Linked DNA regions of Cricetulus griseus. The protein of the gene in region 1 purifies or fractionates together with the protein of each later gene. This does not show direct contact. Links are inferred from orthologs where the notes say so. Each region holds a gene or a part of one and is shown on either strand. Other genes may lie near its edges.

Region 1 (4,389 bases):
AAGTGCCCCACAGCTAACATCAATCCCAACCCTGGAGAGGGCTAAAAATAAAGACTGGAGGCCAGCTCACAAGGTAGCCGTGATCAAATTAGGAGGCTGAGAGGACAGAGAGGGACGAAGAAGGAAGCTTATAAACATCTGATCCAGCTGACTGTGGCCATATGGCAGCTGCTGCCCAGATAAAGAGATTAAGAATAGAGGAGTGCGATTACAGCTGTCTGGCCAATTCAGGCAGCTCGAATCTACAAGTTCTAAATTAGTCGCTAACGCAGAAACTCCTGCAAATAATTATTGTTACGCTGAAATAAAAGATCTCTTAAATATATATCTGAAAGAGAAATGAGGAAACTGGTCAAACTATTCTCCTAGGGATAAAAGTTGTCTTTCTTTTTCTTCTCCCCTCTTCTTAAAAAACAAAAACAAAAAAATCCCAACAACAAAAACCCTCCGGTTTCAAAAGCACTACAGCTGTATGCTGCTTTCAGTAATGCTTGCCGAATGTTTTGGAGAATAAAGTTTCACAGTGGAATTAATTACACAACAACCTAGCTTCTTAACCAGAATAATCTTCTCATATAAGTTTGAAAGCTGGATTCCAGACAGTTTACTGTTTCTGCCCCCCTAAAGCAAAAGGAATCTAAACAGCAGTGAACAACAAAAGGCATCTTAATCCAAAGTGATCTCAAAAAGCCATATTCCAAAGCCTTTCTTACCATCTGAAAACTTGAAATATTTCTGTGTATTAAAGTTATTTACTTGCTCAAAGAAAAGAAATAAAAATTCAAACCAAGCAAGCCCAAGACTTCCAGCTCAAGACCATCACTTCATGCTCAATTTCACACATTATTCATAAAGTGGATTACAAAAGTAATGTGATGTTTTTTTAAAAAAATTAAATAAAACACCCAAACAGAAAGATGCTCAATCTAATCTCTTGCTACTCCTACCTTTAGGACACATAAACTTGATTAAGTCCTTCCCTCGGAGTCTTGCTGGCTCCAGGTCTGTTACATCGGTGGAAAAAAAGCAGACTAAGAGAGACAGATGCAAAGTGGAGATGATGTTGGAGAGGAATGAGATACCTTCTCCACCACAGATCCGCACACACTAGCTCCCTGTCTGTGTGTTAGAATAAAAGGCTGAGGGATGGCAGGCTGTCAGCTGCTCTGACATCATGTTCAGATGGAAATGCTACCTCCAGCTGTGCTCCTTTAATGCCATATGCTACTCCTCTACACTCCTGCCACCAGCTTTTTCTTAGGAGAACTTTTCTCTTCTGTTAGTATAAACAAAATACTTCAAAGTCTTCCTTTTTTTCCCCCCAAACTTTCTAACAGAAGAAATTGAAAAACTCAGCATATGGAGTCCTACTGTATTTATGGAATCGCAACACTTCTGCCTCAAGTTGGTGGACTGGCTTACATATGACAGCACACTCAGGCTCGGTGCTATTCAGGAAACCCACATTCACTTTTATTCAACTCCAACGTCTAGTTTCAAAGGCAGCTTAGGGATATTTTTAAACCAACCCATTTGACATCTCCAGCCCCACTTCGGCATTATTACAGCATGTTTTTTTTTTTCCTCCCCCCGCGGAGATAATGGTAGACATCTCCAAAATGTTGGCAGACTTATTAAGAGCTATTACTTCAGCGTGGTTCACCTTATTATTTCACTCTTACTTAGCAACTTATCTGCAACTACCTCCCAGGAAAATAATTCACACTGCCACCGTGAATGCAGATTTCCATTCTCAGCGTCAACAAACTGAAACTGCACTTTGTGAAATCCTGGAAAGTATTTCGGTTCAATAAAGGCAAATTAATAAACCGACACAACCTGCTGCAGTCACTTAGGATGACTGTTTGGCCACATCTCATGTTTCTGCTCAGAAAAAGGCGTCACTTTGTCTTGCCCTTCTTCCCTATCCCTTTGGGCTAAAGGGTTGTGATCAGCAGGAGTGTAGACTTTGGGAACTTTCTTGGCTGGAGTTTGTGGGTCTTAGTTTCTAATGGCTGATGAAATGCTAAGGTAACCCGGGCTGGGCCGCCCGGTTCCCTGCAAGGTGCTGCGACAACTATGAATGTCAGACACATCTATCTCTACAGACTCTTGGGAGGTCGAGGAGTAGAAAAAAGAAACTGGGGCCTGAGGCGCAAACGTCCCAACCCGGGCGACAGCCACTCTTAGGCTCGCCTTAGAAAACGGAGGCAGGGAGCTAGAGAACAAAACCCCAACTCTGTCCTGCCCTCGCTCACGAGTCACTAAGAAACCTAACTTTCTCTAACTTCGCGGTGAATGACATAATTCTGAACTCGTTCTGGAGGCACACTGGGCAGACACATTACTTCCCTGCTACACACACCCTCTTCTCCGCGGATGCCCTCGCCCCATTCCAATATATCCGACGTTAATCACCCCGTTTACTCACTGGGGTGATGGTGGGGGTGAGTGACAGTTTAATGAGCCCCAAGGACCGCAATGGCCCGGAGACATCCCGTCCAAGTCTCGCTACCGCGGACCCGCGGGGGCTCTGTGAGGTTTGGGGTTTTGTTTCTCAGAGGTGGGGGCAGGGTGCCCCGGGTGTGTTTGAGGTTTTGGGGTGGAGGGGGGGGATGCAAATCTTCGCGCAGTTCGCCGTGCATAAAGCACTTGGGGAAAGAGGAAGGGTGAAACCACTGGGAAGGAGGTGCAGGGCAGAGAGCCGGTGCAGCAGGAAAACACCTTCCACAACGGCCGAGAAAACAGCCCCGGGTCGCGGCAACAACAAAAGAAAAGTCGCAAGAAGCGGCGCGGCGACCGCTCCCCGCCGCCGCCGCCGCCGCGCGCCAGCCCCGGGCCTCCCGGCAACCGCAACCCGGGCGCCGCGCCCTCCCCCCCGGCCCTGCAGCTGCACCGGCCCCGGAGCCGCGGCCGTCCCGGGCGCTGCAGCTGCGGCGGCCCGGACCCCTCCCCGCCCGCTCGCCCGCCCGCCCGCCGCCCTCCGCACGGGAGGCGCCGCCGCAGTGCACCGGCCGCCCCGCGCCGCAGCTGCCGGGGAGCGCGGCCAGGCGAGGCGAGGCGAGGCGAGCCCGCACCGCACCGCACCGCACCGCCGCCGCCCCCTCCGCCGCACTAACTAACTCCCCCGGCGGGACCCACGGCCGGCAGCGGGGCAGGGCGGGGCGGGGACTCACACGGAGCGGCCGAGTCGCCGCGTCCCCGCCGCCGTCCTCCTCCTCCTCCTCCTCTGCCGCCGCCGCTGGACTTGTGGGCGTCCTCCGCCGGCCCCCGCCCGCCGCCGGCCCCGGCCCGGGCCCGCGCGCCCCCGCCGCCCCCGCCCGCGTGGCAGCCTGAGGCGCGCCGCCGAGCCACGGGCCACTCTTTAACGGCCATCAGGCAGCCCCAGCGCGGCCGCAGCCTGCCAGACGTACGGGCGCGGAGCGGGCGGCGGGCGGGCGGCGGGCGCGGCGGGCGGGCGAGCGCGGCGCCGGGCCGGCGGCGGGCGGGGCGGGCGGACGACGCACACGCACGCACGCCGCGGCGCGCGGCCCAGATGTGGCCCCGCCCGGCCGGGCCGCCCCGCGCCGGCCGCTCGGCGATTGAGCGAAAGCGGCGGGCCCCGGTCGCTGGCCCGCCCTCGGTCGCAGCGTTGCCCAATAGAAGAGCGGCGTGACGGGGTGGGCGGAGGGGCGGCGGGACTGACGGGGAAGCTCGGCCAATGGCAGTGGCGGGTAGGAGCTGCCGCCCGCGCGCGCCAATCGCAGGGGGCGACTGTTGGGTGGGCGTGGCCTCTTCGAGGGGGAGGCGGAGTCCGCGGGCCGCGGCGGCGGCGGCGGCGCTGGCGCTGGCGGCGGCGGCGGCAGCGGCGCCCCTCTGGGTGACTTGGCCGTGAGAAAGTGAAAGGAGCCCGCAGGCGGCGGCGACAGCTGCGCGGGGAGGGGCCTGTTTCCAGGCTGGAGACGAGCGCGTTCTGGGGGTGTGGAGTGAGAGAGTGAGTCTGCGTGCACCGCGACGGCCTCGAGTGTACTTTTACACGGGGCAGGTGTCCCGGGGAGGCAGTGCGCGCGGGGCCGCAGCTGGCCGGGGCCGGCCTGGGGCGGCTGGGTCTGGCCCTCCTGCGGTGCTCGCTTGGGCCGCGTCCCGGGGACGCGCCGCGCCGCGCCGCCTCCGGCCTGTGGTGTCGGCCGCCAGGTGCACGGGGGCCGCCAGCTCGGAGCGGCTGCGAGAGGCGCTTTTTCCCAGCGTCCTTCGTGCAAGTTGCAGCTGCGTTTCTCCTCCCGATCCCCGCGTCCCGTCTGCACGCACGGTGACAAGCAAAGACAGTGCCCAGAGACCAGTCTGAGAGCTTTCCAGGGGGAATGAGACTTGTAGACGCTTTAGCCTGTTTCTTAATTGATGCTCAACGAG
Region 2 (3,730 bases), on another chromosome or scaffold:
CTGGGCCCATGTAGCCCTGGGCTGAAGGTCATTTGGCTGAGAAGTTGTACAGCACCCAGCCCAGGGGTGCTTTGAGATTCCTGCTACAAGGTGACTTTCCCACACCCAGTGGGCGTCTCCTATCCCCTCTCATAGTCCTGCTGGGTCCATGGCAGAAGAGCCAAGGTCTCTGGGAAGTTTTCTTCATCATGTTCTTCATTGATAGTGTAACATTCTCATCTGCAATGTAGACAGTGACACTCAGCCAGTTGTGAGGACTTCTTGCTCTAAAAGGTGGAAATTCCCACATAACAAGAATATATAAGACAGTTACTTACTTCCCACATCTAGAGACAGGTGTCCCACACGTTCAGTTACATCTTCATAGTTATTTGGGTACTAGACTCTTGCCTTGTAGCTATACCATTACCAGTATATGGCTTCCCTCTTATAGTACAAGGTACCTACCCAAGGCTTCAGCCATCATATCAGATTTCCAGCCGGCCAGCAAAAAGGGGGAAGGTGACATACACCCAAGGTGCTGTGTGCCTATAGGTCACCCCTTTCCTGAGTCAGGCAGGATCTGTGGCAGGATACAATCTTCACAGCCATATCACCAAAGGGTACTGGTGGTTGCCCAATTTGGGCTACTGTGAATCAAGCTGCCATACCTTCAAATACAGATGATGATGATAGTGCATGTCATGTCTGCTACAAAGGCTGCTAGAATGCTGAAAGGTTGTATATCAATACAGAGTGCCACTGACTACTGTCCATGCCATGCCATGCCATGCCACAGGCTCAAGGCCCTTCACTAACACAGTTTCCTATTGTCTGGGGAAATCTTCCACCACAGTGTCTCCAGCTTTTGCATCTAGTTCCTTCCCTCTTTAGTTATGGATTCTATTACCTTGCCCACTCCTTGCTCCTCCCATTCCCCACTCTCACCACAAGGCATAAGAATCAGGACTTCTGATCCCTTCCTCCCTACTACTTACTATGCCCAAAGGAGTGATTCTCACTTTTAGCTTTACTATAGTACAGCTCTGTGTCTTGTATTGCTCCCCCATACCTGCTACATGAACCCCAAGATAGCACTGTCTCTTTCTTGCCTGAAGGCAGCCCACCCCACAGTCAAACTGGGGTTCCTGCTGGTGAGAAGCTCTCTTCTCCTCACAGAGCCTTGCCTCCTTATAGCTGAGTGAGTGCCCAAAGACTATAGACACATACTGAGGCCAGGCTGGAATGACTGTCCCAGATGACTCTACAGCCCCTGGGGAGCAGGGCTATAGGTCCACTATATGCTAAATCCCATGCCTGGCAGACTTACAAGGCTGGGTAATAGGCTAGGTGAAGGTACATTCAGATACGGGTTTCACTGCTCTCTGGGTCTGAGGCAACATCTGCAATGGGCCAACAGGCTCACCCTCCAAGGCCATGATGCCACCAAGACCAGAGCTCACCACTCCTCCCAGAGGAGCAAATCTCCAGGCTACCCAACCAGACTGTCCATAAGAGCAGATGCCAGGTCGCTCATGGTTGCAATCCCTGACTGGTTCTACCTTGTCAGCTCCTGAAGGTTTTTTAGATTTGTGGTAAAGAATGTTTTCAAGCTGTCTCCAGTGCAAAGTCTGAATTGGCTATGACACAACCAGAAACCAGATGAGCACACTCCAGGTCATGGAAGAACCCAACAGATCTGAGCAAACATGAATCACGGAAGCTGCTCAGAGCTGCTAACCACCCAACAACAAGCTCTCCGTAGGTACTGTGGGTAAAGATACTGTGACCTGCTATATTCCAGGTAGCATCCAGCATAATCACTGGCAGATGCCCACAGTTCCACTTCTTCTAATAACTGGCTGTGATGTAAGAAACCAAGAAAATACAGAGTAAGAAATATTTACCTCCTGACAAGGCCAGGCACAGTGACAGGCCATACAAGACCTTGTGGTATTTAGACCTACTGTTGCCAGAGACCAAGGAGCATGACTAGTGCTGTGTGCTGACTGAGATTGCAGCCTGAGGTTGCATGGCCCATGCTCTGGAGCCCCCCTGTACCCCATGAAACTTGGCCAACTTAAGACACTACCTTCTCATGGATCTCCTGTGTGGACTGTGCATCACAGAAGGCTACTGTGGCCACATCCTTCAGGATAGGCATCTCCACTGTGCAGTCCCGGCCATCCAGCAGCGCCACCAGGGGCCGGGGGTGCAAGGGCCCGTTCATGATGGGAGGTCGGACGCCTGCAAGAAAGGAGCAGACCACTTAATGCCCTCAGCAGCTCTAGTCTATGATCTGAGAACTGTATTACCCACTAGGGCTGGGGAAATCAGCCCTGAGAACTTACTGCACTCAGCCTCTGGCTACACAAGGCTTTGTAGAAAGCAAATTAAAACCAGGAAGAAGGAAATAGGAGTTTGCAACATTTCACTGATGACTGAGTGGACTCAGACCTCAAGGGCGCAGGACCTGAAATCTTTGGAGACCCTAGTGGGGATATAGGGGACAAGGGTACAGAGGAGGTAGGAGGCACCTCAGCCCTGGCATCCTACAGCTGTAAGCTATCTTGTCAACACAAAAATGTGCAGACACAAAAGAATATGATTCAGGAAAGTGCCTGTTCACTCTTTGCTGCCTAAAAACCACTGTGTAACTGCCCAGAACCCCACAGAGAGACCACAGTGATTTTAGCATGTGACCCAACCTGGTATCATTCCTAGTGGTAGATTTCAAGGGCCAAAAAACTGCGACAGGAAAAAAGGGCTACCACACTCTCAGAACCCACCTCCCAGACCAAGGTGAGAAAGAACCTTAGGCCTGGAGTGCAACTCCAAAGAGCACTTGCCCAGTGAGTGTGAGGTCTGGGTCTGTTTCCTAGCTCCACAAAAGCCTTTATGGATATGAAATCAGCTTGCTCCTAACACGACACCCTAAAAAACTAGACCCCACATGGGGCCAAGTACAGTACCAAGGGCTTCACAAGTACACAGCCAACACAGTAGTCCCAGGTACTATAGCCACCTTGGGCAGGGCAGCAGACACCTCATGGAGACCAAAGGTAGCTCCACAGTAGCAGACAACACCAGGCAGGACCTTGTCCAGCCCCAGGGCCTCCAAAAGAGTTAGCCAGGAGTATGGACCATGGAGTAGGCACAGTGGGGGGGGGGGGGTAAAGGCAAGAAACAAGTCACCACAGTCTCCCACTGAGCAGGCCAAAGGTAACCGTGCAACAGCTGCAGTAGAGTTCACAGTCACCTTTCTTGCCTCCAGGTGCAGAGGCTGCCCCAAGCTGCCAGTGCCAAGTAAGTGCCTCAGAGAACACATGTCACAGAAAAGCAATGTCCTTTGGATTGTCACACCTATGTTTAACAGGGCTGGTGAAAAATCACTGAGTGCTTCCAGTCTGGAACTGGATACCTGGACTGTGACACAGGTCTCAGTGACCACCCATAATGGAGCTGCCTGATAGACAACACTAAGCACAAGGACTCCAGCTGTGGAACAGAGGTGTTGCTATACACAGCCCTTCCCCAGAGTCAATGTGACTATGAGAAGACACACATATGAAGGACACACCAGTCCTTCATAAACTGTAAAAGTAAAGGTACGAAGACTTGATGGTCCAGACTTCAAGGTCACAGGCTTGGCATTTGCATACTTCCTTCCTTGACCCCTATGGATCACATCCCTAGCTACCCCTGTCACCAGACAGCAGAGGTGGAAAAACAACAATCCACTTGTCCTCCA

The links. Proteins that work in one complex are often made in the same cells at the same time.
Region 2: the proteins of Zbtb18 (region 1) and Ctbp1 purify together in Homo sapiens (affinity purification with mass spectrometry; 3 studies listed by BioGRID and IntAct, counting the BioPlex papers as one, with this or other methods). This does not show direct contact. The link is inferred for Cricetulus griseus from reciprocal best matches to the Homo sapiens genes ZBTB18 and CTBP1.

Annotation. Positions count from the first base shown.
Region 1 is NC_048598.1:16,377,961-16,382,349, forward strand, and holds the start of Zbtb18 (zinc finger and BTB domain-containing protein 18), read right to left. Parts: upstream 2,805-4,389; 5' UTR 961-2,804; coding exon 948-960; intron 935-947; exon of another isoform or gene 1-934.
Region 2 is NW_023276807.1:102,309,918-102,313,647, forward strand, and holds part of Ctbp1 (C-terminal-binding protein 1), read right to left. Parts: intron 2,227-3,730; coding exon 2,072-2,226; intron 220-2,071; exon of another isoform or gene 1-219. UniProt on the Homo sapiens protein: Corepressor targeting diverse transcription regulators such as GLIS2 or BCL6. Has dehydrogenase activity. Involved in controlling the equilibrium between tubular and stacked structures in the Golgi complex.